2 linked regions of the Caenorhabditis elegans genome follow. The protein of the gene in region 1 purifies or fractionates together with the protein of each later gene. This does not show direct contact. Each region holds a gene or a part of one and is shown on either strand. Other genes may lie near its edges. The genes, in order: Y57G11C.36 and gid-7.

The links.
Region 2: the proteins of Y57G11C.36 (region 1) and gid-7 fractionate together in Caenorhabditis elegans (co-fractionation; one large-scale study listed by BioGRID). This does not show direct contact.

The regions. Positions count from the first base shown.
Region 1 is NC_003282.8:14,772,035-14,775,960, forward strand, and holds the start of Y57G11C.36 (K Homology domain-containing protein), read right to left. Parts: upstream 1,721-3,926; 5' UTR 1,078-1,720; intron 1,022-1,077; 5' UTR 1,003-1,021; coding exon 391-1,002; intron 335-390; coding exon 211-334; intron 46-210; coding exon 1-45. Other genes in the region: Y57G11C.51 (DUF3362 domain-containing protein), read right to left, coding at 1,721-1,942, 1,999-2,259.
Region 2 is NC_003283.11:3,754,935-3,758,860, reverse strand, and holds the start of gid-7 (CTLH domain-containing protein), read left to right. Parts: upstream 1-1,786; 5' UTR 1,787-2,062; intron 2,063-3,063; 5' UTR 3,064-3,064; coding exon 3,065-3,145; intron 3,146-3,389; coding exon 3,390-3,520; intron 3,521-3,894; coding exon 3,895-3,926. Other genes in the region: Serine/threonine-protein kinase chk-1, read left to right, coding at 1-160, 358-591, 760-922, 1,127-1,543.

The sequences.
Region 1 (3,926 bases):
GGCTTGGGCTGTTGCCTGGCAGACGATAACCGTATGGAAGCAGGTCTGTAACAAACGTAATGTATATTTTTAAGTTTTTATTTGGGAATTTTCGAAAAAGTATTATCATAATTATTATAGAACACGAAATGGGTGATTGATAGACACATGAAGGATACAGGTAGATACAGGAAAATTATATATATATAGGAGAATTTTAAAAATACTAACTCTGGAACGGATGCCCATAGTCGCCGGATCCTGGAGATGTGGCTGAGCCGCGAGGTTGGTAGGTACCATTCATATTGGCAAGAATGAGCAATTGTTGACGCTTCAGCTCGTCGTTACCGTCAGTCTGAAAACTTTTATTATTGGTGGATAAAAGCGATATTTTTATTATTTTTCACTCACTGGTACATCAAGAATTGCTTGAATGTGACCGACGCCACCTTTCAAGAGTTTTGCAGCTTGCGGCATATCTGCTGGAACAGAAATTTGCACTCTCAATGGACCTGTAGTGACATCGGGATTCGAGCTTGATCCATCTCTCTTGGTTCTTCCGAGGATTGTGATGCGGCAACCAGTTGTCACTTCGAGCTGCTTTGCAGTTGTTCCACGTGGTCCAAGAAGTCTTCCAACGAAGTTGTAATCGGGAAACTTTTCTACTGGAACCATGATAGTCTCCGTGAGCATCGAACCATCGCCACTCATTTGTGAGCCACCATCATGAGCATCGTTTCCTCCGACTTTCTGAATCTCCTTGTCGATCAAGTTGAAGACATGGTTGAAGCCGCCGCTAGAGTATTGAGCCAGCTGATGCTTCTCGCCTTTCAGCGCATCGATGTAGGCTTCGACATCGTGCAGATTCTTCGACATCTCCTGATCCGAGTGGTTTGAAGTGGATTTCAGCGACTTTTGAGAGTCATCCGACGGTGGCGGAGTCAGAAGAGACGAGTGTTGATGCTTTTCGGCGAGGCGGAGAAGTTGAATGCCGTCCGTAAGCGAATCGGCAGAAGAACTCATTGTCAGGCAGAAGATGACTCTGAAATTAAAAAAAAACATTAAAAATTAACAAAAAAAAATAGAAAAAAAACTCACACGACTGAACGAAAAACGTTTTAAAACTGAACTTTTCCGGGAAGGTCATCGGATCAAAGACGGGCGGATGGATGACGTGGCAAGCTCACGTGGAAACACCACATCAGCCGCTGCGTGAACTTTTGCTCTCATTTATTAAAAAATATATTTAATATTAAAAATATTTTTCACTTCACGTGAGCTGTCGTTCTTTTTTCTCAGTGTGTGAAGTGAAACTTCGGCGTAAATTGAAAATGAAGTGAAAATTCCTACGTGAAGTTAAAAATCCTCCATAAAATGAAACTCCTGAATAGACTTGCGCACCTTTTGCATAGAATTCTGCACCACCTGCATAGAATTTCGCAACTCGTGCATAAACTTTCGCTGATGCGTAAGCCGAGAACGCAAAAAATAAAAATAAATCTGAACTGAATGTTCTTTCAACAGAAAAAAATCGCAGAAAATAGCAAAAATGCAAGTGCGCTCTATAACAAATTTCCATTCGAAGAGACAGTGATGATTTATTCATAATTACATGGTAAATTGCAAGAGGGGGCACCTGTTTTATAAGATTAATGGCAAGGGGGAGGGATGCGAAATAAATATTTTACATGATAGCGGGGTAAGTATGAAATGTTAGTTGGGGGAAAGATCAATCAATCAATCAAGGGGCGGCGTGGAATCGTGGCGAGCGTCTCTGTGTGCTGGTAAGTGGAGTGGATGACGACGACGGCGAGGATGATGTGGAGGATGATGTGGAGGATGATGGCGTGGAAGGGTCCGGTTGCGGAGACCATCGTGGCGAGCGTTTCGGATTCGCTGACAGGCCTGCATCGCGACCAGCCCTGCGTCTTGCTGACGCTTCTCGTGCATTAGCTCGAACGACCTGAATAATTGAAGCAATTAGGTTCCAATCATAAATTGAATACGTTTATAACATACCTCCTTCGCTGCATCATTTAATTCCTCCCATCGTTTCTTGTCGCTCAACCTCTTCTTCTCTCGTTTTTCGGCTTCCTTCGCCCTTTTCACAGCATCAGAAGGCTTGGCCTTCTTCGGCCCACTTCCTTTCCTCGAAGCTCTGTTGGCGTTGCTTTTCGCATTTTCCTCCTTTTTCTTGCTCGGAGACATCTTCTTGTACGATTCCTTTGCGGCGATGGCTCTCTTTGACAGATCGTAAAGCTGGGCTGGTTGGGATCGCATCTTGTTCTGGAAGAAGACAATGAAGAGAAATCACAATTACCGGGGCTTTTCAAGTAGTTCGTAAAATCAAAGTGTATTTCAAGATGCTCGTTGCCTTATAAATTTAAAAACATGTATTTAAATAAAGTTTGTGACGTTATTTTGCCACATTTCTCGGAAAAATCGTGATCAAATATTTATTCAAAACACTTACCGTTGTTAGGAAAAACAATTTGAATCCAAAAATATAGCAGGAAAAATCAAGGGAGGGCAACCACCAGTCGCCCAGAATAAAAGACAGAATGTCTAACTGTCGAGGTGTGGGGACGTCGTCGAATTAAATGCACAATACGCAAAGGTACGCAAACACCGATGTGTACCGTACTCCGAAATGTTTTTAATTTCCATGTTTTAAACTAGGAAATCGACAAAAATGAGAGTTTTAAGCACAAAAACAGAGCTTTTGAAGCAAAAAATTATTAAACAATACAGATGACATATGCTCCTAGAAAATACCAGAATGAAGGTGTTTTTGAGGAAAAAAAATTTAGGCCAAAATTTTTTTTTAAACAACAGTATTTTCGAGGAATCAGAGAAGTTCCCGATTTTCCAACAAGTTGAATCTGTAGAAGACTTAAGAATACTCTCGAAAAAAGTAGCTCTACAGAAGTATTTTAGGCCAACGGAAGGTTCAAATTCACAACAAAAGTCAATGTGGAATAGATTTCTTGTAGAAACTGAACAATAGGAACAGAAAATAACTTAATGACTTATTCTGTAGTAGTTCCAATCTTTATGAACACATTTTCAAGTACTAGATATCTTCCAATCGAGAAAAAAATCTGGATAGGTTCGGTTTTCTTTTACGTCGTCAAGTGTCCTGATATAAGCTTTCAATGTGTTTATTGGATCACGAAATTCTCGTGAGAGCTCTTGTCAGCATAAGCGCACATCAGCATAAGCATATTCAAAACGTGAGCATAAGCATATTTCAAAGGTTTCAGCATAGGATAGTTGGCAATGAGATTTTGCAATAAAATGTGTCCAACTAGAATGTTGTTGGCGATAGTGTCAAAAACATTTGGTTTTTTAGGTTTCAATGTTTTTTTTTTCGATTTATGAAAAAAAAAATCCAAAGGGTACCCCTTACAAAAATTTTCTAAATTTTTTTTTGAAAACTTTTTTTGAAAACTTTTCAAAATTTGATCAGATGTTATAGAAAAATGCAATGTTTGTTGTTTATCTAGTTTAGATGTTCTGAACACGAATTCAGACTAAAACCTGATGTATAGTAGAACCTCAAAATTCAAAAAACGCACTCACTTCGGATGCTGATATCTCCGTGTAATAATTTTTTATGACAAAGTGATCAACTACAAAGTTGTTTATCTTAATATAAAGTACAATTTTGCAGTTCATCGTTTTTTATCAAAAAATTGGTTGGATGAGATATGAATAGAAAAAGAAGAAGAAAATACAAGCATGAAGGTGCCGAACTTTACACAACTTTATCTCGACCAGCAATTTTTTTGGTGAAAAACAATCAACTACAAAGTTGTACTTTAGATTAAGATAAATAACTTTGTGGTTGATCACTTTGTCATAAAAATTTTTCCACGGAGATATCAGCATCCGAAGTGAGTGCGTTTTTTGAGCTTAGGGGTTCTACTATACCTCAGGTTTTCGTC
Region 2 (3,926 bases), on another chromosome or scaffold:
AGGAGCGACTGCTGGATTTGAGCTGTGGGACGATTCCGTACGCTGCTCCAGAGCTCTGCGCCGGAAAGAAGTACCGTGGGCCGCCCGTCGATGTCTGGTCGTCTGGGATTGTGCTCATTGCGATGCTCACCGGGGAGCTTCCGTGGGATCGGGCTAGCGAGTGCGTTTTCATCGCGTTTTTGGCGGAAATTAGCATATTTTGATGGTTTATTTCACATTTTTCGGCTAAAAATGGCAATTTCTCAACGAAAAATGTGTATAAACGAGAAAAAACAATAAAAACTATTTTCCGACCGTTGAGACACCAAAAATCAGAGATTTTAGCTAATTTTTGACGAAATGAATGTTTTTTTTCAGCGCCTCTCAATCCTACATGGGATGGATCAGCAACACGAGCCTCGACGAGAGACCGTGGAAGAAGATCGACGTTCGAGCCCTCTGCATGCTTCGTAAGATCGTCACCGACAAGACGGACAAGCGCGCGACAATCGAGCAGATCCAAGCGGATCCGTGGTATCAGCACAATTTCGGTCAAGTCGAGACACCGAACGGGCGGCCACTGAAACGCGCTCGCAACAATGATGAGAATATGTGAGTTTAATAGATGGCTTCGGCCATATCTGGTGTAGATTTACGGCGCGTTGCGTGTCGCGTCGCGGCTCGATTTTAGTTGCGAAAAATGCAATGAGGAAGGCCAGAACCCCATTTAAATTTAAAAAAAAATCACAATTTCATGTTAAAATGCTCAATATATTCCAGCACATGCACTCAACAAGCCGAATGCTCCGCGAAACGTCGTCACTTGGAGACTCCGAACGAGAAGAGCACTCTGGCGGAGAGACAGAATGCTTCGTTCTCCCAGCCGACAAAGACTGAGGATCTTCTGCTTACTCAGCATATTGATATGTCGCAGACCAACTCGGTTAGGAAAAAACCGTCAGAAATTGGCGGATTTTTAGCTAAAATCTCCAATTTTTCGGTCGTAAATTGGCATTTTTGATAATTTTAGGATGAAAATTCGCTAATGACACGGAAATGGTTGCAAAATTAGAGGTTTTTGCTAAATTTACTTTTTTTTTTGATTAAAAAACCCAGAATTTAGTTTAAATCCCCCTAAAATTTTCAGAATCTCCTCCAACGAATGGTGTGCCGTATGACACGTTTCTGCGTCGTCACCGACATCCGTTCCACGTACCAAAAAGTGGCTCGAGCCAGTGAGCACGCCGGCTTCGGCGTTCGTGAGACTGACGACTACCGTCTACTAGTCACGTGGCGCGAGGTTTCGATGATGGTCAGTCTGTACACGATGGGCGATATTCCCGACAAGCCACGTGTCATGGTAGATTTCCGCAGGTCTCGCGGTGACGGAATCCAGTTTAAGAAGATGTTCATGGACGTTAGAAACCGTATGCATGAGTGGATATGTACCGACGGAAACAACTGGCTCGCCAATCTTGGATATGTGCCAAGAAATCCGCAGATAGTTAATGGTGGTGGAGTCAATGTGGAGCACTCGGCGTCCTCGATCAATGTGGATGTCTAATTGTTTTTTTTTGTTTGTTCGTTTTTTGTTCCATCAGACTATTGAGATTTAAAGCACAATATTTATCATCATCATCATCACTTTAAACATCTCCCTATCCCATTAATTTTTAAATTTAACGTGAATTAACGCCGAATTACAAGCCTGTGAATGAATGTTTGTTTTTATCTCTGCGTCTAGAGTTTGTCCCCACTGCCTCATCATTCCTCCTCTTTCTCTTTTCCCTCTCTCACTTTTGCACAATATCTCGCTGCCCCTCGCCTCCGTTCGATAGTCGTCAGCTGAGAGAGTGTCTGCAGCAGACAAGACAATTCTTACTAAATAATACGCACGAATATATTCTTATGAATTTTTCTACCCCCTACTGTCATTAGGTCTCAACTGGAAAATCTGGAATTCGTTTTTGTAGTTTTCAAAATATCAGTGGCGCGTCGTTCCCACTTAACAACTCAAAGTGGTTCGGAAACCCATCGGAGAAGAGGCTGACGAGCCAGCCGTTGTCCCGGCCAAGCGACAGAGGTTTGCAATTTAAAAAAAGCTAAATATGACGATTTTGCGATACTGTACCAGGTCTCAACACGACAAATTTCTATAAAATTAATGCAAAAGTGTGTGTGCGCCTTTAAAGAGTACTGTAATTTCAAACTTCTGTGGTTACGGAATTTTCTTATCGATTTTTCTTAGTTTTCCGATAAAATTTCGTATTTAAATTCTTTTTTTAAACACCAAAATTTAACAAATGATGAGAACAATTGAGAGAAATCGATATTACGGGAACACAAAATGCTGAGAATGCGTACTGCGCAACATATTTAACGCGCAAAATATCTCGTAGCGAAAACTACAGTAATTCTTTATATGACTACTGTAGCGCGTGTGTCGATTTACGGGCTCGATTCTCGAAACTGATTCAGGCCCGTAAATCGATACAAGCGCTACAGTACTCCTTAAAGGCGCACACTCATTTGTATTTATTGTAATGCCACAAGATTTTGTCATTCATTCTTAAAGGCGCATCGATTCACTCAGATGGGTCTCGGCGCGAAAAAAAAATTTTTTGGAGTTTTTGCGTTTTCTTTCATTTTTCTGTTAAAGCCGACAAGCAGGAAAAGCACTTATGAAATTTGTCTAAACATTTTACGAAAATTTAAAAAAAAAACGACAAAACTCGCTAAAAACCAAGAAATTTCATTGATAAACGCAAAAAAAAAAACTTTTAAAAAACTCTTTTCGCGCCGAGACCCATCTGAATAAATCTGGGTGCCTTTAAGCGGACATGTCGACTTCTAGCGAAATTACGATAACAAAACCTTCAATTTCAATCGATTTTTTGTAGTTTTTACGATTGCAAACATATCAATTTTTGCAAATCGAAAATTCCGCGGCACCTAAAGTTTTAGACTACAGTACTCTTTAAAGGCGCATACCTTTTGACAATAAACAAAACATTGTCGCGTCGAGACCAGCTACCGTATTCTTGGCGCGCGAAAATTGGCAAAAATTTCAAAAAAAAATTCCAGAATGACTGTCGACGAGCAACTTGACGATGTTGGTCGTAAGGGTAAGAAGATGTCTGTAGCACAAAGATTGCAGAATCATGCGGTAAGGGTCTCACAGCGACACGTGGTGTCAGGTTGTCCCGTTATGGTTTGATCTACAAAAAATGCGGGAATTTTTTGCCCCAAAAAATGTGACGTCAGCACGTTCTTAACCATGCGAAATCAGTTGAGAAATATGCGTCTCAACTCCCGCATTTTTTGTAGATCTACGTAGATCAAGCCGAAATGATACTTTTTGACATCATGTTCCGCGATTGAAATGCAACAAAAAAATTCACTTTTTCCAGCAACTATCCCCCAGATCTCAAGATGATCCCGAAGAAACCGAGTCGGTGATTCGAAAGGAAATCGCGTTGGGAAAATATGATAAAGCAACAATTCGAATTATTGCACAATTTTTGGATAATATCGGCTTGACGTAAGTTTTTGACCAGTTTCGGGTCTCGGCACGACATTTTTTATGTTGAATGAAAACGGGTGTGCGCCTTTAAAGTTTCTTTATCGATTTTTCAGAGTTTTTTGTAAAAAAAGCACACGTGGTGTCAGAGTGTCTCATTTCGGCTTGACGCAGAGTTCTCAACTGATTTCGCATGATTAATACCGTGCTGACATCACATTTTTTTGGGCAAAAAATCCCGCATTTTTTGTAGACCAAACCGTAACGGGACAGCCTCGCACCACGTGGAATTTTGGAATTTTGAAATTACGAAATTTTAAGGCGCATGTCTTTTTTCAATAAACAAAAAATGTCGTGTCGAGACCGGCTACCGTATTTTTGACCCATTTTTTCAGAAGCTCTGTTGAAACTCTCGTTGAAGAGACGG